7 linked regions of the Rattus norvegicus genome follow. The protein of the gene in region 2 purifies or fractionates together with the protein of the main gene of each other region. This does not show direct contact. Links are inferred from orthologs where the notes say so. Each region holds a gene or a part of one and is shown on either strand. Other genes may lie near its edges. The genes, in order: Cab39, Stk25, Ppp2r1b, Proser2, Cttnbp2, Slmap and Cttnbp2nl.

Region 1 (3,543 bases), about 7.7 Mb from region 2:
TCTTCTCATCATTGAACTGCTCGTCTTCCGTCCTGTCGTTCTGAAATTTGCTGAGGAACTCGATGAGTTTGGTCTGGTTCTTGAGGAGGATGTCTAGGATGGGCTGTGTCTTGTTGGGGTTGGCCACAAACACCTGCAGAAGAGAAAACTACGTCCGTCAGAGGAGACATCAGTGCCCATCCAGCAGCTCCTGGGCGGGTAGGGCATTAGTCTTTCTTCAGAAGAACTTACTTTTACATGACAACGGGGATAATGATGACTACAGGCTTAGCACAAAGACTGCCAAGCCATTCTGCCTGCCCTGACACACAGTACTGAGGTCTAAACACCACCTTTGAGTTTAGAATCAAATAATTATTTCTGGGCACAGGAGGTCAGACTGAAATTTAAGATTAACACCCTACCCCACAAAGAAAGCATTAAAAATACCTCTGGCCTTGTACTGGACCTTACTTAAGCAGCTAGAGAAAGAGTCTGAGGGGAGCCTCAGATGGGATGGGGGGTGGGGGAAGACGAGGACAGGAGGGGCAGCATTTGTTTTTGCACACCTCTGTGCAAGTTGAAGAGTAATACCCACCTTCTTTGACTACACTTCTCTTCTCACTAGCAAGGGCCCAGCCCATTTCCACCCAGGCCCCGCCTCTATTTGCACGCTCTGACTGGTTACAACACGGGCAGTACTTTAGGACTTGTAATGAAGTTTCAGAAGAAGGTACTGTTTGCTGTGCAGCTCACCTTGAACACGTGAAAGGCCTCAAACTGGATGTTACGGCTCTTGTCTCGGAGGAGGTTCATCATTAACTTGAGGTTCTCAGGTTTACTGATGTATTTCGTCATAATAGTGAAGTTGTGTCTGTCTAACAGCAGTTCACCCAGAAGCTGAGAAGACATTTAGACCATTACTCTTAAATTAAGACTTAGAGCAAATCAAAAAATTAAACAATCCATCTTCCAGTCGTCACTTGATGCTAGAAGAGACTGGTTTCAAAAGACAGTAACAAAAATAAAAATGACAGCATAGGGGTTGGGGATTTAGCTCAGCGGTAGAGCACTTGCCTAGCGAGCGCAAGGCTCTGGGTTCGGTCCCCAACCCCCCCCCCCCAAAAAAAAGAAAAAAAAAATGACAGCATAACAAACCACCACCTCCCAAAGAAGGAAAGGGTAGAGGAAGTTCCGTTTATTAACTAATTTTTTTCCTGTTTTAAATTCTTTTTAGCAGGGCTTTCCAGGATGAAGGGTGGTGTTTGCCTAAATGCATGCTGTTTTTCATTTTCTCACATCTGCCTCAAAAAGCTGCATCTCAGCAGTGGTTCCTCAAGACAGCCCTGCTCAGAAAGCACAGCAGGGAGCTGAGACCGTCTCCGCTGTCTCAGTACCTCCTCACTATTCCATATGAACCCAGTGTGCAAGCGGCTGGCTACTGCTCAGCTGGGACTGTCCTCCAGGTTGTGCTTGCACTGAGCTCCAGCTGAGGCTGTCTATCAGCCACATACCGGGCTGGGAGCAGACAATATCCTTGTGGGCGGATAGAAGGGCACCTGTCCTGGTGCTAGCTGCCTGGGTTCAGATCTCCAGCTTTGAGTGGCATATTCCCCTTTGGGGTCTCTACCTTATAATGTGGGCATACAGACCACTACCACACCCCACACCCTGGAAAGACCCCAACCATGCTCAAAGCACAAATGTGCTTTTTTTCCTAAAGGTCTACAACCAGCACCAGCATGTCCCTGATGCTCCAAATTCAAGTTGCAAATACATAGTGAAGAGAAATGAATGACATGAAAAAGAGAATGTGCCATACCTTCAGTGACTGTCTCTTTGTCACATAATTTTCTGAATGAAGTAGCTTTTCATATTCACTGAAAAACTAGGAGACCAGAAAACACACATCAGGGTTAAGGAAAAGGCAGCTAGATAACACTGTAAAGTTCAGGACAGACTCTGAAATAACAAAGGCCTGAGCTCTCCTGCTGACAATGATGTCAAACCTCCCTTCCTCATGTGCCCCTATGGCAATGCCACCAGCCACTTCTATTCAGGGAGCTCCTGGGACTGGTCCCTTCCAGGCTCCAGTCAGATCCACAGACTACACTGACAAGTCCCCCTCTATACCCTAACTCCATGTGCATAAAACATTAACATAGTGGTTCTCAACCTTCCTAATGCTGCAACCCTTTAAGACATTGGCTGACCTTCTACCATACATTATGTAATTGCTATTTTTAACTTTTTGCTACTGTTATGAATCATAATGTAAATATCTGCTTAGTGAGGACCACTGCATTAACACCTTCTCACACTTTCCATATTCATTTCTTGGTGTTAAAAAATTCCTATCATTTCATATACAGGAACTCTATTTGTCTAAACCACAAAGAGAAAACCGAACCCGTTCTTTCACGGTATCAAGGAAGGAGAGAAAATAAAGATAAGAGAGGGGAGAAACCTCCAGTATTAAGGAGACAGGACTTTTGAAAGGTGAGAACTTGGCTCAAAGGTGAAGGGATCGATATTACTTAGAAATGGGATGAAGGAAAGATATTCCTGGAATGAGAGACCCGGGGAATGCAAAGCTGTAAATCAGAGTGATAGGGGTCCACCAGGTCTTCCAAGTGGGGATAGTAAGAACATGTCATCAGGGTAGGAGCAATTAATGCCAATGCATGTCAGGCAACCCAGCTTCCCTTCAACTATGTCAACAGGACATTCTGAGCAACCAGCACATATCTTTTCATCTTTTAACTGATTGTTTCCCCCCATTCTTTAGTTGGTAAAGCAAAAACCAACAAACAAAACCAAAAAAGTGGTCAAGGTTTTAAGTATATTTTTTGGTAGGACTTGATATTTCTTCTCCCTCAGATCTGACTGCACTTCACACATTTCTGTAAAAATGGCTTTCTAAAATCTTGTTAGCTGATGTCACATTCGCAAATAACATCTCACTGTGTTTTAGCATTCTCTCCAGGAGCTTGAGCGGTAGAAGGTCACATACTCTACACACTCATTAGTGGCACCTGCTGCTCTGAGGCTAAAAGGAGGCACAAAGAGTAAAGAAAGCCTTTAGTCTTAGGACTTGAAGCCAGATTCTGGGTTCTGATGTTAGAGCAGTGGTTCTCACCCTTTCTAATGTTGCAACCCTTCCTTCCTTCCTTCCTTTCCTTCCTTTCTTCCTTCCTTCCTTCCTCCTCCTCCTCCTCCTTCTTCTTCTTCTTCTTCTCTCTCTCTCTCTCTCTCTCTCCCTCTCCCTCTTTCTCTCTCTCTCCCTCTATGTTTGTCTGCCCATCCCTGCCTCTGCCTCTATGCCTGTCTCTCTCTCCCTCTCTCTAGTTTTTGAGATAGGGTTTCTCTGTGTAGCCTGTGCTGAACTTGCTCTGTAGACCAGCTGGCCTCCAACTCAGAGCTCTGCCTGCCTCTGCCTCTTGAGTGCATGGATTAAAGGCATGTGCTACCACTGCCCAGTGCTTTGACCCTTTGATACAGTTCCTCAGGTTGTCCTGACTCCCCAAGCCATGAAATCACTCCATTGCCTTTTCATTATCTGTA
Region 2 (4,122 bases):
CCAGCTCCAGGAGATCCAAGTCTTTTCAGGTCTCAGTAGGTTCCTGTTCACATGTGACATACACACATGTGTACATATAAAAAGTCTTAACAGAGTAGACCTTGCCAAATGTCAGACTTAGTTATAGGAGGGATCGGGAATGGACCCATACTGTCAGGCTACCCTGAAGACCATCTTAGAGATGGTCTTTTTCAAAGGCAATAAAAATAGTTGTCCGCCCCCCTCCACCTCCACTATTGTTTATGCCTTGGGGGGACCACAGTGCTTCAGGACCCAGTGCAAGGCCTGTTTGTTGGAAGTCTATTTTCTTCTGGGGAGAAACACAGCAAACAAAACCTAATCGACATGTAGTAAAGCTTGGAGAGTCAGATGCAAGTCTTGGATGCAAGGTTTAAGAAGGCCCCGGATGGTGCCCAAGACGAAAATCCACCAGAGAACAGAAACAAAAAGCCTTCGTGAGCTGGGGAGTGGGGACATTATGGTGATTTGCACTGAGCCATCATAGGTGTTGATTCAGCAGAAAGGACACAGTACTGAGTCAAATCTCCCTCCAGTGGAGCACTAAGAGACTGCATAGAAATGGTCACTGCTGACAGGGTCACTCGGTTTGAATTCACAGGACGAAGGGCATCTTCCAGCGTTGGGAAACCATGCTGGATCACACAAGTCTTCCCAGAACCAGGTCATGTCCTGGGGGCATACGATTACACCTTTTCAGATAGGGAAACTGAGGCAGGAGAGAAGCACTTGCCCAAGACTTCTCTAAGGGTGTGTGTGTGTGTTGCTAAGTGCAGACAAAAGGGTGGCACTGCGGTTAAAGCTGAAGCACCAAGACCTGAGGGTAATATGGGTTTGCACTCAAGGTACATAGTATGGGTGGGTCCCAGAGACTGAGCAAACAGAGCTGGGAAAATAAGAAGAGGGCTGAGGATGGGTGGGTGGGGTTTGAAGACGTAAGGCAACTGCGCACGCGCTGCACCCGTCACACCGCGCGGCCTGACGGCAGGGGCGGCCCAGCCCGGGTTGTCTCTCAAGGTTCGGATCTAGTCTGTGGCGTATTATTGCCTCTCCACACGACCTCCCACCGCATGTTCTCCTGGGACATGTAGTCTGACGCCATCAGGGCCTCAGAGCACTTGCGTAACTCCGAAGCCTACCGCGCAGCCTGCTGGGACTTGTAGTCTCAATTTTGCGTGCCTGGGGTACCCGGCGTGCTGCGGGACTCCTAGTCCCACAGAGCTTCGCGCTCGCCACGACGTCCTGCTCAGAGCCGCTGCCTCCACCTCACGGGCTGGGAGGCCTGGGCGTTCCGGGAGACCGAATTGCGGTGTGAGCCGCCGTGGGGACTGCGAAGCGGGCCGGGAGTCCGGGATGGAGCCGCCCGGAGGTGGGCGCTGCCAGCGGGCCTCGCCTGAATGTTGGGGAGGCTGGGCACGCCCTGGGGGCGGGTCAGGGGCCCTGGGCGCGGGACCGGAGGTCGCGGGTGAAGGGACGCCACGGAACGGCTCCCCCGGCCGCTGTTGACCCAGCGGCCTGCGGTTTCTTGCAGGTGCTTGAGGCGAGCGGGTGGAGCGGCTGCGACGGACTGGTCACGTCAGCGGGGACATGGCTCACCTCAGGGGCTTCGCGCACCAGGTGAGTGTGGGCGTCGGAGCGGATTTGTCCACTTGGGGCGGGAGAGGGGCGGAGGCCGAATGCCTCGGGGCGCGTCTTCGGGCCGTTGTAGCTCTGGCCTGCGCGGCGGAGCCAGCGCCTGCGGAAGACATGAACCACAGGGAGGGAAGCTCTGCTATGTGAGGGGTTCTGCTCTGGAGCTGGTGTGGACAGGTGCAGGAGCCTGCCCTGGGCAGAACCTGCTTGACCCAAGCTCGGAGCCCCTTCCCAGAAGATAGACTTTTCCTTTCTTGGCTAACGGATGGAACCCCAACATGGAACTGCATCAGCAGGGAGATGGGGGCTGCATAGGGGTAGAGGGCTCGGTGGTTTGCTCTCTGGACCCCTTTTCTCGCCTTTATTTATTTATTGTTGTTGTTATTTCAAAGCAAATAGGACAGCCGTTAGTGAAGTAGAATATCTTGCCGGCTGGTTTTCTCTGGCTTTAGCTGTGGGATTTGCTTTTTAAGGGCTCGGTTTGGTTAGGCTTCGGCTTGACAGTTGCACAGTGAGGGAATCAGTTCTTGAGGACAGTGCAACCGACGTCCCCCCCCCCCCCCACCGCCCCCTTCTCCCTGCATCCTTGAGAACTGGGTGTGCAGACAGGAAGCGTGTCCATCCGCTGCTTGTGGGCAGGAACTGGAAGCAGGGCTCCTTGGAGGAAACCAAACCAGCCTGGAAGACTCCTCACAGCTGTTGGGTAGGGCTTTTGTCCCAGCTGTCACAGATGGGATCCTGCGCTTGCTAACTGATGCTGAGTTAAGCTAACACATTTTTAATACATTTTTGACATTTCGCCTCTAATTATATAACACACTGAGAGAAAAAAAAAATCTGCCTCTGGTTTATTTTTAAGACGCTTAGGCTTCGCTCCTGTAGGCCCCCAGGATGACAAATTGGAACTATGAACTGTGAAGGAGTAGAGAGATGATGGCTAGTGGACCTTTCTCAAAGAGAAAAAAAAAACACCCTTTTGTCTCTTTAGAGGCCTATGTCCAGTGTAGACTTACTTGGCTTCTGAGATTGACACAAAACCTTTGTAGGGCTGTTTTCTCCCAAGATGGCTGCCATGGAGTCCTATGAAACTGTTCCTTTTGTGTGGTAAGGCTTGTACTTTCTCCGCTTCTGCCTTAGATTACCTTTTACCTAGCCAGTTCCTGCCCATCTCTGGGAGGAGCATGGTTATGGGAAAGTTCTGTGTGACTGTGGTGGTAGTTGTGGATGTGTGTTGAGTTGTTCCTCTTGTTTTGGGTAGGTGATCCACAGCAGGCATGTTGGCAGATAGGCCAGAGGCTGTAGGTATAATATCTCCAGGACAGAATGGAGAGAGTATGGGTGAGGTTGTAGGTATAATATCCCCAGGACAGAATGGAGAGTGTATGGGTCTCAGTTGTTCAGAGTAAGTTAAATGGCTTGAGTGATGGTTCATAGCACATCCTGTCCAGAAGAGAAATCTGAGCCACCCAGATCAGGATGCTAGCTGTCTTTGATTGGCTGGGCTTGGGACTAGGGCTGCTTCGAAGGTATAAATACAGAGTCAGGACCATGCCAGAAAGGTTCCTGTCATACTGTTTCTAAGGATGGCTGGTACACAGCTGTAGGTACCCCAAAAAATCCATAGACTTTGAAGACTAGGGTTACCCCCTTCCTTGCACAAAGCTTAGAACTCTGGCTTTGGGGTCTGTTATTTTCTCCTCCTCTGAGGCAGTGGTGAGTAAATACTTGGCCTGAAGTATCCTTCTTGGGCTGCTATAGTGGACCAGTTCTGACTTTAGGTTCCCCAATTAAGGATTCTCATGGCTTATGGCTGAGCAGTGTGGGAGGACACGGTGTCTGAGCCTGAGGAGTAGGAAAGGGGCCCTGAGAATTGGAAGGATAGTGGTCCTGGGCTATGTAGTTAGCCCATGGCTTGAAGTGTTTTGGGGCCTGCTGGAGCAGAAACAGGCAGAAAAACAAAAATAAAAGAACAAAACAAAACATCAACAAAACAGGCAGGTAAAGGTCTGCTATGTGGACCTTATTCTGCACCTGACTTTCAGGGCTGGCATTGAGCAGAGGATCAAGTGGTCACTGCCCAGACGTGAAGTGACAGGAGGCTAAGGTATTGTCACACTGATCACATCCACCTTTATCAGTTGTCTCTACACTGATGAGTGTGGGGAGAGCCCATGGCCTGGAGTGGTTCTTTCTGATCTGGCTTGGATCCAGTGCTGATCTTGAAATAGCTGAAGTGTCTGACCTATCAGCCACACTAGAGATTTTTTTCTTGGCTTTTCATTTAAGTAGGAGTGGCTGGGATCAAACACTACTTCCTGGCCAGTACAGCCTAAGGAACACAGGCAATCCTCAGCTTTCTCTGTCAGGCCAATCTCAGTGCGGCCTTTCAGGAGCTCAGGTGGCAGATCTACTCCAAGCATCTATTGCTGTTCCCCGAGAGCTGGTCTTAGGATGTGGCTTCCAGTCCTGATG
Region 3 (3,543 bases), on a different chromosome or scaffold from region 2:
TGCAGAGCAAATCTAGACACCATGGGAAAGTGAATTACCCAGAAAAATAGCTGCTGAGGGGCTTGGTAATTCTCATCTCTCCTTTTTAGTTAGCAAGTCCTTGAGCACGCAGCAAGTGACACCAAGAGATCACCAACAGAAGACAGTGTTTCTAGAGCATGAGAGAAGGCAGTAGAGAGAAAAAACAGGCACCAGTGTGCAGGACAAAGGTAGAAGTGATAGCTGGCGCCTGACTCTCAGCCTGTGGTCCCCACACAGGCTGGGAACAAACGAAGACCTCTTGCCATAGGACATACACACCACACAGGTAAGCCCAGGATGCACACTTAACTGGTGCCTTCCTTTCTGGTTCACGTCTGAGACATTCCTGACCAGTGACGATGTATGTAAAGAAAGACCAACAACAAGGGTTCTGTGTTTACACAGGACGGCTTCACCAGGCCATGACCAAATCTGGCAGGCACTTCGCCCACAGCATCAGCTCTCAGACTCCTACTTTTATTCCAGATTGAGGATTTCCCTGTGATCTCCTTTAGACAGTCTGTGGTTTAACTCTGTATTTACTCATCAGGCCTATGAGCTGGGCTGGAGAGTCATGAGAAAATGTTATTGACTAAAAGTTTACACAAAAAGAAAAATTAAGAATACTAATATGGAGGCAAGAGATGGCCCAGCCATTAAGAACATTTGAGCTCTTACAAAAAGCCTGGTTTTGGTTCCAAGCACCTACATGGCAGTTCACAACTGTAACTCCAGTTCTAGAGAGAAAGACACAGTGACCATGACTGACAGATGCCACCCCAGCCAGTGTCCATGACTGAGGGATGTTGCCCCGGCCAGAAGGTGTTAACCAGCCAAGACGACATCTGTCTTCTTTCCACACTCTTCTGCATACTGCTGGCAGCCCTGGAGACTTTCCAGGTCTGGTGGGGTAAGGTTCAAAGAAATGGTAAACACAATCCACCTCCTCCACCTCCTTCCACACAGGGGCTTCGTTCCACCTAGCAAGCCCATCATTAGCCACTGCTGCTTTCCACTCTAGACAGTGACACAGAAGATGACAGAGGAACAGAAAATGACCCCCATTTGGAATGGATGGTGAAGAAACATGATAAGATGACATCACTTGACACATGGATAAGTTAGGATCTTTGCCCTTCATTTTGAGGAACAGAGAATTTCAGATTTGATAAAACATGGCTATCTACAAGACGCATGCTCATAAACCACCCAAATCAGTAATGGTGCAGTGGTCAAGAAAATACGAGCCCGCCCATGTGCTGTGATCCGAAAGGAGTGGAAATGAACCTTTGGGCAGGGCAGGGCACTGGGGTTGGGGGGCAAAGTACAGAAATGTCAGCAGTAAACTGATCCATGAGCATTCTGAAACTACTCAGGTCTCCCTTCATCCAACTCGTAGGAAATGCCAAGTGTCTAATTAATAACTAGCACCATGAAGCCACAGAAACCACCCCACAGTTAACTGTCTAAGAGCTACCATGGGTAGGGGTGAGGCTAACAAGCTTGCCCTCGTCTTCCCCTACTGAGAAAAAAGGGAAAGGTGTGCAGTAGAGTCAGCTTTGAAATGTTAACTACTCACATCTATTAGAATAAAACTAATAAAGAAATTACATATTCTACACCTTTATCATGAGGAGGCAGTAAGGTGAATGTGTTTCTGGACCACCCTCCTGTTAGGCCATAATGCACCACTGAAAATAAAAACCATCCTCTGAGATGGTGGCACACACCTCTAATCCCAGCAGGCAGAGTAGGCAGACCTGGTCTACAGGGAGAGCCAGGATGACCAAGCCACACAGAGAAACCTTGTCTTGAAAAAGCAAGCAAACACAAAAGCATCCTGCAGGCCACAAGAATTTACTCCAGTGCATCTGATGGAGACACAGCAGCCTGACTACCTGAGCCCCCACTCGCCGTAAGTCCACAATTGGACTCCCCGGCACGGTACTCACCAGCTGGCCAGCCAGCAGCGGCATGTACTCAATGATCGCCAAGCGGACCCTCCACTTGGCGTCCTCAGCCAGTTCCACAATGGCAGGGAGGAGAGACTGAGAGAGCTGACGGATTCCAATCACTTCATTCACACAATCCAAATTGGAGATGATATTTAAACGAACTTCTGGACACTACAATAAACACACAAGCCCCAGAGACTCCATGTGAAAATTAGCTGCTTTGCCCAGTACTCTCCTAGCATGAGAAAATAAAAAGTGCTAAACAGAACTTCAAATGAAAAGTACTAAGCTGGGGGGTGGCCCACATCTTGTACCCCAGCACTTGGGAGGCACAGGAGGGCAGATCTCTTAAGGTGGGGGTCACCCTGGTCTACAGAATGAGCTCCAGAACAGCCAGGGCTGCACAGACAGACCCTGTCTTGAAAAAAAAACAAAAACAAACAAACCAAAACAGAAAACAGAAATTAAGTCTCGGCTCAGGTTTTAAAAGGTGGGGTAAGCTGCAGTGAGGCTGTGAGAAAGGCATTTGTCCAGCCTGCACAGAGCCATGGACTTGAGGGCCAGAACTGACCAGAGGAATACCGGCAGAGAGAAATCCTTAGTGCTAAGTACACAGGTAATCCAAAACACAGTGTCACTAATCGTAACCACAGTATCAGTAAAAAGTCATGATTTTGTAATTTAAAAATCAATTAACAAATTGGCAGGTGAGAAGGCTCAGCAGGAACAGGGGCTTGCCTCACAAACTGGCAATCTGGATTCAATCCCCAGAACTCGTATAAAGGAGGATTGAGAGAACAGACTCCACAGAGATAGCCTCTGAGCTCTGTATGTATACACGAGTGCACACTCACTCACACAATAATAAAGTTTAAACTTTTAATTAGGGGTTGGGGATTTGGCTCAGTGGTAGAGCGCTTGCTAGCAAGCACAAGGCCCTAAGTTCGGTCCCCAGCTCCAAAAAAAGAATAGAAAAAAAAAACTTTTAATTAATAATTAAGCATAAAGTCTATGCGATGGTAAAAAGCCCAGGCCCTGGAGTTCAGTTCTATGTACTCAAGTCTTAGGTCTGCCCCTGCGCGGGGAGACCTCAGATGTCTATCCCTGTGCTTCACTTCCTCTGCATGAGGAGTCAGCCTCAAGCCCGCTGGGTGTGAATGGCATATCCAAAGCACTCCGATCATGCCTGACACTAACTTTCACATCATTTGTTCATCTGTATGTATGTACTGTCTGTGTAAAGTGTACATGTGTGCCCAAATGTGTGGGTGCCCATGAAGGCCAGCGAGGGAGTTGGATCCTCTGGAACTGGAGTTGCACTTATGGGCCATTCAATATGGACACCAGAATTGGAGCTCTGGTCCTCTACAAGTAGCAGGCCTCTTAACTGCTGAGCCACACCTCAGGCCACTAAATGTTAATATCTGAAGCTACATTTTAAACATAAGTAAAAAGATACTGTTTAAGCAAAGATATATGAACTTTAACTATAAGGAACCAGTGATATAACATAAAACATTTAGCAGGTAGTTCAGGCTAGTTTAAGACTGACGTATTTCATGACTTA
Region 4 (4,148 bases), on a different chromosome or scaffold from region 2:
TTCAGTGAGTGGAGGTACTCGCCACCAAATGTGACAACTTGAGTTCTATACCAGAGGTTCACATCGTGAAAAAGAGTACCCATCTGTGTAAACTGTCCTTTGACCTCTACATGGGCACTGTGGCACATGCACATATATGTGCATACATGTACACGAATGTGCACAATGCACACGAATGTGCACAATGCACACACGTGCATAATACACACGTGTGCACGTATACACACATGTGTACACACATGTACACACATGTATGCACACAAATACATGTAATAAACTTTTTTTTCTTAATGAGAATCATTTCAGCACTTGGGAGGTAGAGATAGATGGACTGGAAGCTCTACCAGGCATCAAGCTCAAGTTCAAGACCAGCCTCAACTAAATGAGACCCGGATGGGGCAGGAGTGGTTGATGGGTGAGAATCAAGTTTTCCCAGTGCTAAGGTATGCTCCATTCACAAAGACCTAGCAGACTCTGCTCCAGAAAGGTTGGATATGAGGCCGTACAGACCATTAGTACAACACCGGCTTTTGTTAAATTCTCTCAAATTTCAAGATGGGTGCTGTCACCCCGGGAGGGAGCAATGGCCTTACGGAGGAGGAGGAACTTCTCTGTGGTTCACACAGACAGGCTATCAGCTCAGCACACTGGAGCTGGTCAGACAGACCACAGATATAGCTATAAGAGACGGCCAACCCAGCATGAGCAGAGGCACTCAGAGACTGGACAGAGGGCCCTCTCTGTAAGACACCCCTGAGGAAGCCATGATTGAGCAACCAAGAAGTGCAATGGAGACAAATGCTACCCTTGACCATCCAAGCACCCAGGATCTGTGATGCTCCTAGGATTCCCCTGGCACCTACCAAATGGCCCGATGCCATTGGCATGCATCCCATAACAGCTCAGATAAGATACACTCGAACTTTTTGTTCCAGAGGATTCCCTGTGCTGGCCTCTGCTCCCCACAGGTCATCCACTTGCCTCCCTTCTGGTTTCAAGGCTCTGCTCTGCCTCCAGCAGTTACCTGAGCCGATCTTCAGATCAACACAAGGTGCCAACTGTAGGCTCCTGAGGTGTCTGAGAACCTCAGAGCCGAGGCCAGGAGTCTCATCAGCCACCGACGAAGGCAGGATTACCAGATCTGGGTTTAATCAGTTTGGACCCCACAGCTCTTTATCTAGAGATTCTCCATGTGCATTGGCAAGTCAGGGCTCAGCTGGTCAGACAGACCACAAATGTACCATGGAGGAACTGAGGGCCTCACCAAGCCTCCCTTAAAACAGGCCAACCCCTCTGCAACAGAGGAAGCACGAGACTCCGAGACTCTGTTTTCAAAAGCACAGCCCATCTTTGTAGCTGTTACTTATCCTAGTTTCAAATGTCTGTTTTCTATGAATGGAGAAAAAAAAATGCTTTCAAATTATCAGCATCCAAAATTTTCCAGGAGACGTTTACTAGAGGCACTGTTAGAAGGAACCAATCCAGACCCTGGAAAAAAAAAGCCTATTACTCTTCTGGGCAAGAAAATACAGAAGATTCCATACATACACTGTCAACCTGGCAAGAAAGGTCTCAGCCTGACTTCCACCCTTCCCACCCAACCCCAAGTAAATAGGGCATTTGTTTGTATTTCCACATTGGCCGCACCAACGAAAGTACCTCCTCCACCTAGAAAAACAATCTGGAACATTCAGGCACGGAGTACGAGGGCAAAGTTTTAGCACACACTGGAGCACCTCATAGAAAAATTATTTTTTTCACAAAAGTCCATCCTGCAAGCACTTTCCCCAAGTTTACACTTAATACCTGGTTTGGTATTTCTAGATCGTTCCAGGACAAAGCGTTTTGTTGTTGTCTCTATTAAAACTGGAGCCAGAAGGAATCTTCCCACAGCAGGGCTTGAAAGTTTTACTCTGTTTAGGGGAGAAACACACACACACACACACACACACACACACACACACACACACACACACACACACACATTTGGGCTCCCCCCTTCATTTTCTCCTTTGCACCAAATAGGTTCAGGCAAAGAGTTAAAAGTTGTCCTGCGGTTAAGTGCCTAGGGGAGGGGGGCTAATTGCTTAAATTTAGAATCCGTCAAACAATGCTGGGAAACTTTCTGTCTTGGGGAAACGCTGCAGTTTATTTGACTGCCTTTTGTTAAGCCCTGTCCCATTTGCAACATATTCGTTCTTTCTAATCCTACGGTCCCAGGTCACCCCGCAGCCCCACACAAACATCCCCGCGCGATTCAGTTACCTGCGGGGAACCGGCCGGGGCACGGAAAACCTGCGGAAAGATTCGCGCAGGATCCTGGTTTAACAGGTGGCTCCAGGTTTGAGCCTCGCAAGGGACACGGTCCTCACGCGCAGTCGGCTCCAGGAAGGGTAAGGGACCAAAGCCTGAGAGTCTGGGACCCAACTCAGACAACACGCCAGGAACCACTGAGCGTTCGCCCACGGGAAAACCCCAAGGTGAAAAGCCACGCGTCGCGACCCCCGAAGTCCCGGGATGAAGGCCATCCGGTGGCAGCACGGTGGGGCAACGACAGCGCCCCAGCTGCGCGCAAACGACTTCCCCAATTTCCGAGACCCGGACCCGGCGCCCCGGATGATCCGGACAGCTGCTGCCGCGCCCCGCACCCCGCTCCCGGCGCCCGGCCTGTCCCCGCTCAGTGGGGCGGAACTCACCGAGCCAAGTCCCCTTCGCGGGTCGCAGGTGTCCACGCCGACTGAGACCCGCAGGGCTCACGCCGTCCGCCAGCCAGCAAGTCGTGCACGCACACACGCCGATCGTCCCGTGCTGCCTGGCGCGCGCTCTCTGGCACCCAGCACCTCCCTGCCGCGCTCTCCCGGCCGGCCGCGCGCGCCCAGCCACACAGCACCTCGGCAGCGCGTTCCCGGCTACAGGAGTCCCGTGGGCCAGAGGTAGTCTGCGCGCCCCCGCGAAACTTAAAGGGCCAGCGCCCAAAGCCCTGGACTGGGCCTTTCAAGACTTCTCCTTGTGAGACTGAACTGAGGGTGAGCAATGTGAAGTCGCAATGCGGACATGCTTTTGAAGCCCTGAGTAAGAAGGGACTTCACCAGCAACTTCATCAGCAACTTTGAGAGTTCCGTTGGTGCTTGCTTTTTGAAGTAGAATTTCACTATGTAGGATGGCTTCAAGTTCATGATCCTCCTGCCTCAGCCTTCTGACTTCTGGGATTACAGGCATTCAACAACACTATTCTAAAGAGTCACTATCCATTTAATAATAATAATGGCTGTGACTGATGAAATACTTACACTTTCAAACAAGGCACATAGCATACATATTTCATTAATTCATTCAGACAATGTTTTCTTTTTTCCTATTTATTTTTGTTTAGGGGGTGGGGTTAGGTCTTTGTTTGTTTGTTTTGAAAAGGGGTCTCATTTTGTAGACTTGGCTGGCCCGGAGCTCACTACACAGACTCTGATTCAGAGAGACCCATCTGCAGGCTAGGATTAAAGACGTGTGCGACCACGTCCAGCTTTTTCACTTGTAATGAACTTATAAGCATTGCCCATTTGTGAGTTACTTGTCCTCATGCCTGTGCACATTGAACAAAGTTTTCAGCAGAGTAGACATGGAGCTCCTTAAACATTTATCTTTTTTTTTTTTTGTCATGAAAAAAATGTCAAAATCCTTCTTGCTTTTTGAGGACTTTGGTTTCTTTTGATCCATCTATCCACTCATTCATCCCTTCATTCGTGTGTGTGTGTGTGTGTGTGTATGAGTGTGTGTGAGTATGTGTGTGTTTATGTGTGTGAATGTGTGTGTGTCTGTGTGAGTGTGTGTGTAGTGTGTGAGTGTGTGTGTAGTGTGTGAGTGTGTGTGAAGTGTGTGTGAGTGTATGAGTGTGAAGTGTGTGTGAGTATATGTGAGTGTGTGTGTGAATGTGTGTGTATGTGTGTGAAGTGTGTGTGAGTATGTGTGAGTGTGTGTATGAGTGTGTGTATAAGTGTGTGAAGTGTGTGTGTGTGTGTGTGTGTGTGTGTTCGTGAGTTTCGTCACAAAAGGGAAGGTCAGCAAACAGCCTTCAGGAACTGGTGCTGTCTTTCCAACACGTAGGATAGATTTCAGGGCTCAGGACAAGCCCCTCAATCTGATGAGCCATCTCC
Region 5 (4,004 bases), on a different chromosome or scaffold from region 2:
CAGATCCCGCTTTCCATACTGCCTACCAGAAAGAATTATATTCTGAGCAGAAATAGCAATATGGCCTATAAAAGTCATTGCATTTGGCTAAGGTACTGAAAATAACCCAGGCTCCCAGCATGGATCACAGCGTAGACTATTAATAAGATCCTATTGAATGATGTAGCTGTTAGCTCGAGGTGCTTTCAGGATTTAAACAACGAAGAACAAGGATAACAAACTAAATTTAAAACATTCCACTGGAAATTATATTAAACTGCAAACTATAAATTAAGCCAGTTCCTAAGCAACAATCTAAATAGAAAAGAAAAAAAAAACCCTCTGAAAACATGCTCTTTCAAAAATAGCCAATGGCTTTGAGGCTTCACTAGCTCGATTCTGCCAAATGTATATATAAAATTCCACAAGATGTAAACCAGTTTGAAATGAAATAAATCTCTTCAGGGCAGAAAGAGAATTTCTCCTTAAAATTAAAAATATGTATATATTAAGTTTTTTGTCGGCCAAGAAAAAAAGCAAACTAAAAGATTTAATTTTTAACCATTAGATGAAAAACAAGCACGACAAACAGGATTTCTCTATTTTTTTTTCTTTCTTGAGCCAAAAACAACGACAAAAACAGCCTAAAACCAGGCTGGTGGTGGTAAGGTCCTCTATTTCAGCACCTCAGGAGACAGAGAGGTACGTGACTGAGACTCCATGGTAAGGTTTAGCTCCCTGTGACCCTACCTGGAAATAAAGACCAGCTTACTCAAGTAGGTCATGTTAAGAGTCCCCTTTTCAAGCGCAAACTACTGGTAAAAAATCAATATAGCCCAATTTTACAGACTGAAGCGTAACATTTTTACTTTAAAAACCATAAGTGTGCTGTTAGTGCAGGTTGGAAGCCTACAGAATAGGATCCCTTGAAAGAGGTTCTTTCCTTTCCTTCGGGAGAGTTTTTTTCTTGACTCTTCCCCTTAACAAGAGTCACGTCATCAAGCTGCTAATTTATCCGCATTTGAATCAGGCTCCTGACACTTTTGAACATTTGACAAGGAACACTGACCTCGTTGGAACAAAAGTATTCCTGACAATGCAATTTTGTTTACAGTTTTACATCACACATCATAAACCACGTGCTGGTGTTGGTTTATCTTGGGCTTGAAATATCGTGTAGGCACAAAGGGGTGTATTCTAAGTAGATTAAACAAACTATCCACCTTCCTGAGAGAGAGAAGAGGCGAGTTCTGCCACACCTCCACTCCCCCCACTCCCATGGAGAACAGGACAGTTGATAATTTCAACTCCCAGAGGGACTTGTTTTCTCCGTTGTCATAGAAAGAAATTCACATGTGGAAAGGTTTCATTTGAAATATCTTTAACGTTCTTATCGGCAAAGAATGAAAAATGCGAATTTCCCTCAAAGCTCCCCAAGCCCATATCTTCCACTTTCACGATGGGGGTTAGTAGTTTCCCTTCCCCTACCCTCCTCTAGCATTCTGCTTTTGCAGCCTTCACCACCAAGCACCTTCCTCCACGTCTCTCCTTTCCCATTCGAAGCCAGAGGTGGGAGGAAATTCAACAACACAGGTTGTTTACGTCTGGTCCTGACCTCCACTGCCCAGACCCGGATTTGGATCTAGAGGTGGGAGACACGAGGGGTCGTCCACGCGGGGCTCAGCTCACTCTGTCCCACTAAGGAATCCTCTGAGGTGCTGGATTTGGCTAAGGGTGGGAGGCGCTCCCAGACCTGTCTTTCTTTGCAGATCTTTGCAGCTCCAGCAAAAGCTGCTTCCTCGACCTGAGAATGTTTTCCAACCTGGCTTTGTGGGTCAAGACCCCCAAAGCAAGGTAGGAAGGTAATATCTGTGCATGCAGAAGACAGAGTATCAAAGAAGGGAGCGGGTATGCGCCTAAGGAACTTAAGACGCCAGAGAAAGGGAACAATGTTTTGACACCAGGTTCAGAAAAACCAGCTCAATCCCGCTTTAGGTCTGGAAGATCATCCCTACAGATGACTGACTGAGCCAGCAGTCAGCTAGGACCCAAAGTGCTGGTGCTCGCTGGGCCTCTCCCACCAGCCTCCCCAAGACACATGACCCCCCCACACACACACACACACAGAGCATCCCACACCTGCCTGGCGATGGTTCACCTCCCCCTCTCTACTAACCCAGGTCCCCCGAGAGGTGTCAGGCACCCCGAGACTCGCGTCCGCTCTGCGCCCCGAAGCGGTGAACAATGGGGACTGAGATCCTCCATAGCACCCCGCGAATGGGCATGGGGGTCATCAGGGATATGTGTGGAGTGTCCAGAAGGACCGACCGGGTCCCTAGCATCTGGGTGTGTGTAGGAGGTGGCGTTCCCCGACATGAACCCGCTTCTGTCCCGGGGGACACCCTGGGGAAGGGACACACGAAGGGCACACCCCGGGGAAGGAATGGGTATCCAAGGGAAGAGGCACAGGAGAAAGGGGGTATCCAGGAGGAGGAAGGGAAACCCTTGGGAAGAGAGACCATGGGTAAAGAAAAGGAACCCCGTGGAAGTAAGGGGGCACCCTAGAGAAAGACAAGGCATCCCAGGAAAGGACCGGGCACCCATAGGGGAGTGTCCAGTGGGGATCCTGGCACCAACCCAAGCCCCCGTCTACACGGATCCCGGTGCCCAGGGAACTCGGTTACCGCCGCCTCCGCCGTGGCCCCCTCCGCGTCGCCCGGGGCGCGGGACAAGTCGGGCTCGCAGCTCGCGCTGTCCGTCGCCATCTTCCTGCTCTAGCGGATCCGAATGCGAGCTCGGAGCGGCGGCAGGGCTCAGCTCTCTCGGCGCGGGCGGCGCTTAACCCGCTGCTGGCTGTGGCCGCGGCGCTCTCAGCCCCGGAGCTCGGCGGTCCCCTCCCGCCTTTCCGCACCGCCCCTGCCGCTTAACCCTCTGCGCGCTGGAAACGCGGAGCCCCGCCCACCCGCCCGCCCGCACCAGTCGCTCCCACAGGACCAAGAACTGGCACCGGAGCGGCGCGGCCTCGCGCTGATGTCCGAAAGACAGACACCCGGGGCTGCAAAAGAAGGCACGCTTCCTCCCACGAGGCAAAGGCTGGCCAAATCTTTGCTTAGGCAGCCGGGCTCAAGTCGATCCTGGGCCAGACTCCTGGATGTGAAAAAAAAAAAAAAAAATCTAAAATCGAGCAACCGTTCCTCACTACCATTAGCTCCAGTGAGGTGCCTTTCTTAATATCTTCCAGTCCCTGTGGCCTGCAAACGTCTACCCTCTTGGTTTGTATACCCGGCTTTGTTTTTATCACATCTTCAATGCTAGTCCTCTCTAAAACCATCAACTCTAAGTCTGAACCCACAGCTCAAAGTCTGTGTCCAGCTGTTTTTAGCACCCCTCATCCGCCGGTACCTATCTGCTCGGTTGGTAACTGCTTCGTTTCAAAGAAGGAGGAATCCCTCACTCCCACCCCCACCCCAGCCTGAGATCTGTTCTGAAAAAGCACCAAGTATCCAGTGATGTCTTACTACTTTTGAGAGAACAACAACTTCCTTCGTACAAGTTAGGACACAAGGATACACACACAGACCTTTGTCAAAATGATCATATGGGAATGCATGGCTGGAGTTTGTATGGATGAGTTAGGCCCAAGCCTCCCCATCTCCTACCTCTAATTCTGCTCTTAGACTTTCTGGCTGAATCTGAAAAGTCTATCACGTGATTGAGACCTTAGGGCAAAGACCTTCCCAAATCTCCATATCCCCCCAAAATGCTTTGAAAGCACAAAATCAAATGGAGACATTCAAATTGTGTCTCTGTGAAGCCGAATCAACGCACCACCCAATCCCACGCTTGAAATTCTGGAAGATGGATGACTGGAATGTTCAGTTGTATGGGTTATAGATCAAAGCGTTTAAAACAAGCAAGCAAGCAAGCAAACAAACAAACAAAAAACAAAGTCAGGGGAATGTCGGGAGGGAGTGGGACGGTAAGGGGGGTGGATGGGGGGGGATACCTGTATGGGGAGGGGGAGG
Region 6 (3,543 bases), on a different chromosome or scaffold from region 2:
AGTGTCCCGCTCAGACACAGCCTTTGCTGCTGCTTGATGAAGGAGCAAAATCTCATCTTGAGCACTCAGCAATTTATCTCTCGTGCTAGAAATCTCAGTGTCCTTTTCCTCCTGGAGATTCTCCATATCCATGTGTAGCCTCTGCAGCTGGACTGTAAAAGTGTATTTATCATTTCCCAAGTCACAGGGATTAGGAATGCAATTACAGCACATTACAGGTTTCAGCCACTGTGCAGCCTCACTCTCACAGCTCTTTTTCCTCACTTTCTTTTGATTAAACTGCACATGTTTGTACAGAAAATACCAGAACACAGATGTAAAAGAAAAAAGCCAAAAACCTAAAGTAAATTTATTTTAGTATGTTGACATTTATTCTTTTTTCTAATGCCTTCATTCATATATAAAATAACGAACATTGAGTACAAAGGGATTTATATATGCATGTATATAATATATATTTTTCTATCTTCTTGCCGATGAAAATATTTTGTAGGGAGGGAGGCAGTGAGACAGTTTTAGCTGAGGCAGGAAGGACTCAGAGTCATTACCCAGCTGAGGTGGGCCTTAAACTCATGACCATCCTGCCTCTTACGTGCTGGATTACAGGCATGCAGCACTCCAGTTAGCATGACCCTGCCTTCTCAACTCCAGTGTCTATGATGGGTTACTGGGACAGTCCCTCCCTTTGTCTGCTTTGAAGGCCAACTGTCCAAGGGCCTAGTACGACGGTTTCTAGGGAAGAACAGAGCCATGGCAACTGAGGACCCTCTGCAACCTTACTTTCCATTCCTTTGCAATCACTGAACACAACCATAACCACAGCTGTCTTAACAGTCGTGGGAGCCCCATACCTTGAAGAACCTGGATTTGTTTAGCTGATTCCTCAACTTGATTTCGATAGGCTTTTCGTTCTTCTTCCAAAAGAGCTAAAAGGCAAAAACACAGTGTATCTAATTTTGTGAGTTAATGAAAAACATTCATAATTGTGCAACTAGAAATTTCTAAAATTTGTCTTTTAAAGTTTATGGAGAGACACAAGGTTAGATGTTAAGTATTATCAGTATTAGCCATTAAGATTTTAGAACACAAAACAATAGTAAGTAAGAAATCTATAAAATCTAGTTCCATAATTTCATACACTGAATACCAGTAGGCTTTTCTTACACAAGAAATATTCACATAATTGTTAGTTATCATTTTGAGCAATGCAAGATAGCACAGGTTTATAATCCCAAATACGGGGACGGTTAAGACAAGGAGTCTCACAAGTTCAAGGCCAGCCTAGGCTATGTTAGAGGGTTGTGATAGCTCTGTGGCAGAGTGCTTACACAAAGGCCTAGGTACAATACCTGGTACCATTAAAAAATTATCATATTAAGGACTGGGTATCATACTGCATACTTAATCTAACCCAAACACTGAGGTAACAGAGGCAGGCAGATCTCTGTGAATTCAAGCAAGTTGTCATCTATGTAGTGAGTCCCTTTGCTAGCAAAGGCTATGTATTGAGACCCTATCTCAAAACAAAACAAAAAAACTCTACCCAACCACGAACAAAAAAACAAAACAAAAACCCCAAAATGGAATATTCTTGTGTTTATTGTCAAACACATAGTAAATAAAAACAATGGCTGATTGATAAATATTTTTCATTGTAATTAAACATTAGTTTGTATCCTATAATAAAGTCAAGAGAGACAACTGCCTACTTTTTAATTTCTGCAGTTCTGTGGCTGAAAGCCAGGGCCACATGCACTGGGCTGGCCTTCCTTAAGATAAGCCACAGTCCTAACAGCTCATCAGCAATCATGTCTTTAAGAATCAGGAAAGGAAGTAGTTAGGAATTCACAGCTTCATCTTGGCATTTGAATTGTTCTGCCCAGGAAGGGAATCTCATAAAACTTAGGGGTGCCATAAGGATCCATGGGCTGGATCTTGGGACTCTCCAAGACTTTAACTGCCAAAGGGCAATGGTTCCAGAGGCGGATGATTATAGGCCACGAGGAAGAGAAGTGGCTGAGATGAAAAAGACTTTTTTTTTTTTTTTTGAGGGCATCTAACTACCCAGACTGGCCTCAAACTTACACCCTTTCCCCTCTACATAGACCACTGGCCTCAGCTGAGAAGATTCCATATTTTGAACCCTGTCTGCAACCTTCCTGTTAAATAACCACCCTGAAAAGTGAGCACTAACTTAATTTACACGGTTCCCTCCTGAGCCAGGCTTGTGTGGATCCACACTGGTGGATGGAGCATCTCACATCCAAACACATGTGCAATATGAAATGCTATGAAATCTGAATCCTTTGACCTGAGCATTTGAGATAAGGGACATTCAGCCTGCAAAGAGCACAGACTAACAATGAAGCACAGAGCTCTTCTGTCGGTAGAGCTCTTGTGCTCCTCACAATTACAAAGGCAGAGAGCAGCTGTGATAGCCCTCTCACCAGCTGAAGTGATGTCTGAGAACAGCCCAGCCCTGGCTCTCCCTGCCATGCCTCTGGGCTCTGAGCTCTTGTGCCATCACACCTACTCTGCCTCACAGGACCCCAGGGGGCTGCAGGGATCTTCGTCTCACCTTGAAGGTCAAAGCATTTTTGTTTACTTGCTCTAGCTAGCTCCTGGGCTTCCACCAATTCTTTCCGAAGATGTTGAGTGTCTTGTTTGGCCTCAGTTTCTGCCTGGGTACCCTGTAAGTCATCTGACAAAAACACGTTTTTTTAAAAAGCAAGTGTTAGTACTGCACTATATTCTCTGTAACTAGTGTCTGGCACTCTTTCATGTTTAGACATACATAGTTTGCAACATGGCACAACTGAGTTAAATAAAACTTAGAAGCAAATTAGAGTAAGCACATTAGTTAACACAGATACTAGTACTATAAAAGATAGAAATTAACATACACATAATTGATGTTCATCTCCTGTAAACTTGAAATCCAGTGAGGAGATAGGCACACCACTGTTTCCATCAGTTTTCAATCATGTTCTTACTACTACGGTTATTGGTGTGTGTGTGTGTGTGTGTGTGTGTGTGTGTGTGTGTGTGTGTGTGTGTGAAAGAGAGAGAGAGAGAGAGACAGAGAGAGACAGAGAGAGATGCATGCCTGCATGCCACAGTGCAGATATAGAGGTCAGAAGACAACGTAAGGAAGCTGTCTCTTTCTCTCCCCCATGGGGCTCCCAAGGATTGAACTCAGGTTATCAGGCTTGGCAGCAAATGCCTAATTTACCAGAGCAACCAACCCTCTGCCAGCTCCTTCTCCATCGACTTTGAAATTCAAGAATAAGACAAGAAAAACTACCTGGAGCTAAAACAAAAATGGAAAAACAAAAGAAATTCATCTTTAAGAAAGAACGTGAGGGGGTTGGGGATTTAGCTCAGTGGTAGAGCGCTTGCCTAGGCCTAGGAAGCGCAAGGCCCTGGGTTCGGTCCCCAGCTCCGGAAAAAAAAAAAAAAAAAAAGAAAGAACGTGAGGACGAGCAGGCTCAGCAGGGAGAGGAGGCACTTCCAAGCCCACCAAGGATCTATGTTGCAGGCTCA
Region 7 (4,309 bases), on a different chromosome or scaffold from region 2:
AGGTCACTCCAGCACTGAGGCAGGAACTCAAGGTAGGAACCTGGACTGAGAAAATGAGGCGGAAGCCATGGAGGATCAGGAACACCACTTACTGGCTTGCTCAGCCAGCTTTCTTATAGCACTCAGGCCCAAGCCTAAGGGGAGCACCGCCCAGAGTGGGCTGGGCACTCTCAACAACCACCACTAATCAAGAACACGCCCTACTGGCTTGCCCATGGGCCAATCAGATAGGGACATTTTCTCAACTGAAGTTTCCCTCTTCCCAGATGCCTCTAGCGTGTATGAAGTTGACATAAAACTAGCCGGCACACTAGGGTCAAATCAAATACTCAGAAATTACAATAAAAATTAACCAACAGTTCCTAGAGTGTTCTCCAGAACTCACCCCACCTCCACTAGGTCAGATTCTTATACATATATATCTGGCTCAGAATTCATGACAGTAAACATATATATATATATAAAACCTATCCAGAGATATTTTCTCATAGGAAAGTCAATATTTTAGCCACTTCAGATATTGCAATTTCCTATCATGTCAGATAAGGAAAAATCAAATTACACAAAGACAAGAAGGCGGATGGTTTAACAAGATGTGCCATACTTTATCAGTTTGTTATCTGTCTTGTTTGACTCTTATGTGAGAGCTTTAAACTAAATTCAGTGTTCCTATTAGGCACCGTGGAAGCTACAAGAACTTTTTGCAGTCAAAGAATAATTTAATGAAATGCACTAAACCCACACACACAAACTGTCTGCACACAATGCTTTTTTCATTTAACATGACCAAAAATGACAGTGAAAAGGTTATCGGAAAGAATTCTATCAGAGTTGAACATCATAGTACACGCTGTAATCCCAACAGGAGGGGAAGCCATCCTGGGCTACACAGTTTTCAGAAGCATAAGGAGACACAGTAGCACTCTTGATGAAACAAAACAAAACCAGCCCTCCAGATCAAAGGTATATTAAGCAGCTCTTGTTTATTGTGCCAAAACATCAGTGGCTTTATTCTGCTTTTCCTCTGTTTGTCAGGGCCCTGGAAATCACTACTCCTTAGGTTTCCCGACGTCTCCTACCTGGATTTATTTCCTGTTCTCCACTCATGTAATAAGATACATCTTTTGGGGGTTTCCTATTCTACTTCTAGTTTTTTTTTTTAAACCCCTGATGCTATTTCTGGGATAATGGATCTCTCCTTCCTATGGCAATAAACTTTGTGTTTGCAGGAGAGACCCTGTATACAGTTTCTTCTTTGTGCTTCCTTTCTCTAGGTGTCTGGAAACAATCACAGAGCCCTAGAGTGGCTCTGGAACCTGACTATTCAAAACTAATTACCTTCAGGAAGTCTACTCAGGAAGGCTACAGACAACAGCCACTACAATCGCCCTCTGTGACTGCAACTCTGCACCTCACATCTGTCGGCTATAAATAACCAACAGTAAAATGAACTCGGGATCAAAATTTAAAATGCCAAAAATATAGAAAAATTAATAGGTGGTACTGCTAGCCACAGCTGATGGTTAGAGATTCGATGACATTAACATCGGGACAGTCAACAAGGCTCTTGTTCTGAAATTGAAAACTACCTTTTATTTTAATGCTTTAAATTTTGGTTGATGATGCGGGCACGCCAGACAGAATCATATCACATGTAGATACGTTTTCTTTGAGATAAAATCTCATTATAAAACAGGGGTGAGATAGTACTCAGAGGCCACAGGACCAGATTAATTATAAACCTAGCCAACTGAACCTGAATTTTGTTCAAATACTTCCTGTCTTTTGTTTCAACCTGCCGTACACCTTCAAGGTTAACTGCAGTCTCCCGGAGCAACGGACCAGCCCACTACAAACTGAGAGATGGGGATTCCTACTGCAAAGGCATTTACTGACTTCTCCACACCGTTTCATTTGAAAATATGGTATTAATAACTGACTGTCAAACAATACACACTGCATTCCTACCCACACAAGGCTAACTCTGCTGAAAGCTAACACACCCACCTTGCTATGAAATATGCGGATGCTTTCCTATTAAGTTCTCAGGGAAGAAACCGGGTAGAAAGCAAAACTGAAAGGCAACTCAAACCTAAAAATCCCCCAAAAGCTGGCTTCTCCCACAAGAAAAATAAAGGGCGAGGAAGGTACAAAGGGCGAAGGGAAGAAGGTAATACATGATTTAAGCCGGGGAGCTCTCAACACTCAACAAGACAACACAGGATCTGGGGGGACCGTAGGAGCAATCAGAGGCTGGGGGATGGGAAGAGCTAAAGAGGGGAGAAGGCCGCTCTGACTGTTGGAGGTGTCTGTCTGGGTCTCGTCTTTTTTTTCCCTCCTCCTCGCCCATCCCTCATAAGAACAACGCTGTTTTTTTTTTTTTTAGATCTTATACAGCACCCTAGTTCTGGACCCAGACTTGCCAGCAGGGGCAGGTGTGGGAAGGGATGCCTGGACTTGCGGGGGTCCAATATAGGGGTGGGGGCTGCAGCTTAGAAACTGCACCCACCAGTCCCTCTCCGAGGCTAGGGCTGGGCAAAAGGCGACATGGAGTGAGACAGGTCAGGGGGAGACCCCTGCTAAAGGGCGGAGGCTGGCGAGAGACAATGAACAGTCGCGAGGACCCTGGAGGATGCCGCGACGCCTCCTCGGGGAATCCCGGGATCTGGAGGCGGCGGCCCCGCCCCCTAAGGGACCATCCCTACCCCGACAGGGACTGCTGCTGAAAGCCATACACGCTCCGGGCCGGGAGGCTCTCTCGGAGACCCGGCCACCCAGCACCGCAGAGCCCGGACCCCGCGCTCCGTACCTGGCCTCGGCGCTCCGGGATCCTTCCCCGCCGCCGCCTCCGCCGCCCGCTCCCCATCCCCAGCCTCCCAGGACCCGCCCCCTCATCCGCCGGCAGTGACCGGCAGATACCATAGCCAATTATAGTCTTGCCCTTGCGGCTCTGCAACCAATCCTCGCCGCCTGAAGGCTGGGCTTCTCCAAAGTCATCCCGGCTCCTCCTGGGGCTGCAAGATCCCTTTTGTTTGGGAGAGCCAGGCTGGGATTGAGCTGGCGTCACTTCCGGGAGGAAGTACCACCTCTGGTCGGCTGGAGTCTGGGTTCGCTCTGCTCTCCGCCTGGGCTCTGCAACTTTTCAGGATCCTGAGAACACCTTTTGGTGGCTTAATTTGGGGTTTATCCAAAATGTGAATAAAAGAAGTGAGTTTTAGCGTTTGTTTTAGAATTAGTTATTGAAAACCTAGTAACGTGTCTTCTTTGCTTCTCTCACTTTCTCTCTCTCTCTCTCTCTCTCTGCACTGACTTTTGGGTGTGGTGCTGGAAAGCAAGGGCACAAGACCATCTCCTTTAACACATCACACTGGGTACACAAAGGGAGACTCTGGGGTTGAACAGACAGGACAGCACCCGGTAGAGGAGGGCATAACCCCTGCCGACCTTCCTTTCAGGGCGAAGCCAAATAATTGCAAACTTACGCGCAGTTTTCCCACACTGTGCTTGCCTTTCATGAATGTGGGGCCCTCTTTTATATGTTTGGGCCCCGTCATACTGTGGGGAATGCGTTTTTAACGAAGCCAAAACAAAACAGTTGGATGAGGGGGAATGACTGTCCTTGTGAACACAGGAATGCAGATCTTAGTGATAAAAACAAGACCGGATAACCTGGAGGGAAGAGAACGCACTCTACCGTAGCCTGCACTTCAGCTCACAAGTGATTGACCACATTGTTTTAAAGAATTTGTAACAAGTACATGTAAGAAAACAAGTATTTAAGTGCACAAGTAACATGCTACTCTGAATACATTATTCCTAATCCTCACAATTATCAGCAGGAGAATATTAGGAATTTAATACTCTCTCTGCCTGTGGTTCTCAACCTGTGGGTTACAACCCCTCGGATAACCTTTATCTGTAAAAAAAAAAAAATACCTACATTACAATTTATAACAGCAAAATTACAGCTGTGAGTAGCAGCGAAATTATGGTTGAGCACCACAACGTGAGAAACTATATTAAAGGACAGCAGCACTAGGAAGGTTGAGAACCACTGCCCTAGGCAAACACAGTCCTCGAGACAGGTGCAGTTTACAGTCTGGGTAGAGAGATGCCCAGCCTGAGTAATCATGGTTTAGAGGAAGTAAAACAGTATTTCCTGTCAACACAGTGTTATGTTCATCCATATAATATCCGTGTCAGTGCTGTCATACCCTGTATAGTGGACATCACCGTGAGTGATTATGACGAGTCAAAGAAACCAAGAGATCCAACTGAAGGTTATAGAATTAATAACTGGAAAAGAAAG

What was found.
Region 1: the proteins of Stk25 (region 2) and Cab39 purify together in Homo sapiens (co-immunoprecipitation; 3 studies listed by BioGRID and IntAct, counting the BioPlex papers as one, with this or other methods). This does not show direct contact. The link is inferred for Rattus norvegicus from reciprocal best matches to the Homo sapiens genes STK25 and CAB39.
Region 3: the proteins of Stk25 (region 2) and Ppp2r1b purify together in Homo sapiens (affinity purification with mass spectrometry; 3 studies listed by BioGRID and IntAct, with this or other methods). This does not show direct contact. The link is inferred for Rattus norvegicus from reciprocal best matches to the Homo sapiens genes STK25 and PPP2R1B.
Region 4: the proteins of Stk25 (region 2) and Proser2 purify together in Homo sapiens (affinity purification with mass spectrometry; 3 studies listed by BioGRID and IntAct, counting the BioPlex papers as one, with this or other methods). This does not show direct contact. The link is inferred for Rattus norvegicus from reciprocal best matches to the Homo sapiens genes STK25 and PROSER2.
Region 5: the proteins of Stk25 (region 2) and Cttnbp2 purify together in Homo sapiens (affinity purification with mass spectrometry; 3 studies listed by BioGRID and IntAct, with this or other methods). This does not show direct contact. The link is inferred for Rattus norvegicus from reciprocal best matches to the Homo sapiens genes STK25 and CTTNBP2.
Region 6: the proteins of Stk25 (region 2) and Slmap purify together in Homo sapiens (affinity purification with mass spectrometry; 5 studies listed by BioGRID and IntAct, with this or other methods). This does not show direct contact. The link is inferred for Rattus norvegicus from reciprocal best matches to the Homo sapiens genes STK25 and SLMAP.
Region 7: the proteins of Stk25 (region 2) and Cttnbp2nl purify together in Homo sapiens (affinity purification with mass spectrometry; 6 studies listed by BioGRID and IntAct, counting the BioPlex papers as one, with this or other methods). This does not show direct contact. The link is inferred for Rattus norvegicus from reciprocal best matches to the Homo sapiens genes STK25 and CTTNBP2NL.

The regions. Positions count from the first base shown.
Region 1 is NC_086027.1:93,966,581-93,970,123, reverse strand, and holds part of Cab39 (calcium-binding protein 39), read right to left. Parts: intron 1,868-3,543; coding exon 1,802-1,867; intron 880-1,801; coding exon 736-879; intron 134-735; coding exon 1-133. UniProt on the Homo sapiens protein: Component of a complex that binds and activates STK11/LKB1. In the complex, required to stabilize the interaction between CAB39/MO25 (CAB39/MO25alpha or CAB39L/MO25beta) and STK11/LKB1.
Region 2 is NC_086027.1:101,618,520-101,622,641, reverse strand, and holds the start of Stk25 (serine/threonine-protein kinase 25), read left to right. Parts: upstream 1-1,282; 5' UTR 1,283-1,387; intron 1,388-1,549; 5' UTR 1,550-1,605; coding exon 1,606-1,635; intron 1,636-3,736; exon of another isoform or gene 3,737-3,754; intron 3,755-4,122. UniProt on the Homo sapiens protein: Oxidant stress-activated serine/threonine kinase that may play a role in the response to environmental stress.
Region 3 is NC_086026.1:60,102,547-60,106,089, reverse strand, and holds part of Ppp2r1b (serine/threonine-protein phosphatase 2A 65 kDa regulatory subunit A beta isoform), read right to left. Parts: intron 2,148-3,543; coding exon 1,974-2,147; intron 152-1,973; exon of another isoform or gene 39-151; intron 1-38. UniProt on the Homo sapiens protein: The PR65 subunit of protein phosphatase 2A serves as a scaffolding molecule to coordinate the assembly of the catalytic subunit and a variable regulatory B subunit.
Region 4 is NC_086035.1:77,060,057-77,064,204, reverse strand, and holds the start of Proser2 (proline and serine-rich protein 2), read right to left. Parts: upstream 2,815-4,148; 5' UTR 2,697-2,814; intron 2,406-2,696; exon of another isoform or gene 2,266-2,405; intron 1-2,265.
Region 5 is NC_086022.1:47,927,707-47,931,710, forward strand, and holds the start of Cttnbp2 (cortactin-binding protein 2), read right to left. Parts: upstream 2,835-4,004; 5' UTR 2,745-2,834; coding exon 2,664-2,744; intron 1-2,663. UniProt on the Homo sapiens protein: Regulates the dendritic spine distribution of CTTN/cortactin in hippocampal neurons, and thus controls dendritic spinogenesis and dendritic spine maintenance.
Region 6 is NC_086034.1:1,687,393-1,690,935, forward strand, and holds part of Slmap (sarcolemmal membrane-associated protein), read right to left. Parts: intron 2,702-3,543; coding exon 2,579-2,701; intron 927-2,578; coding exon 852-926; intron 153-851; coding exon 1-152. UniProt on the Homo sapiens protein: Associates with the striatin-interacting phosphatase and kinase (STRIPAK) core complex, forming the extended (SIKE1:SLMAP)STRIPAK complex.
Region 7 is NC_086020.1:195,240,061-195,244,369, forward strand, and holds the start of Cttnbp2nl (CTTNBP2 N-terminal-like protein), read right to left. Parts: upstream 2,844-4,309; 5' UTR 2,810-2,843; intron 2,145-2,809; exon of another isoform or gene 2,008-2,144; intron 1-2,007. UniProt on the Homo sapiens protein: Regulates lamellipodial actin dynamics in a CTTN-dependent manner. Associates with core striatin-interacting phosphatase and kinase (STRIPAK) complex to form CTTNBP2NL-STRIPAK complexes.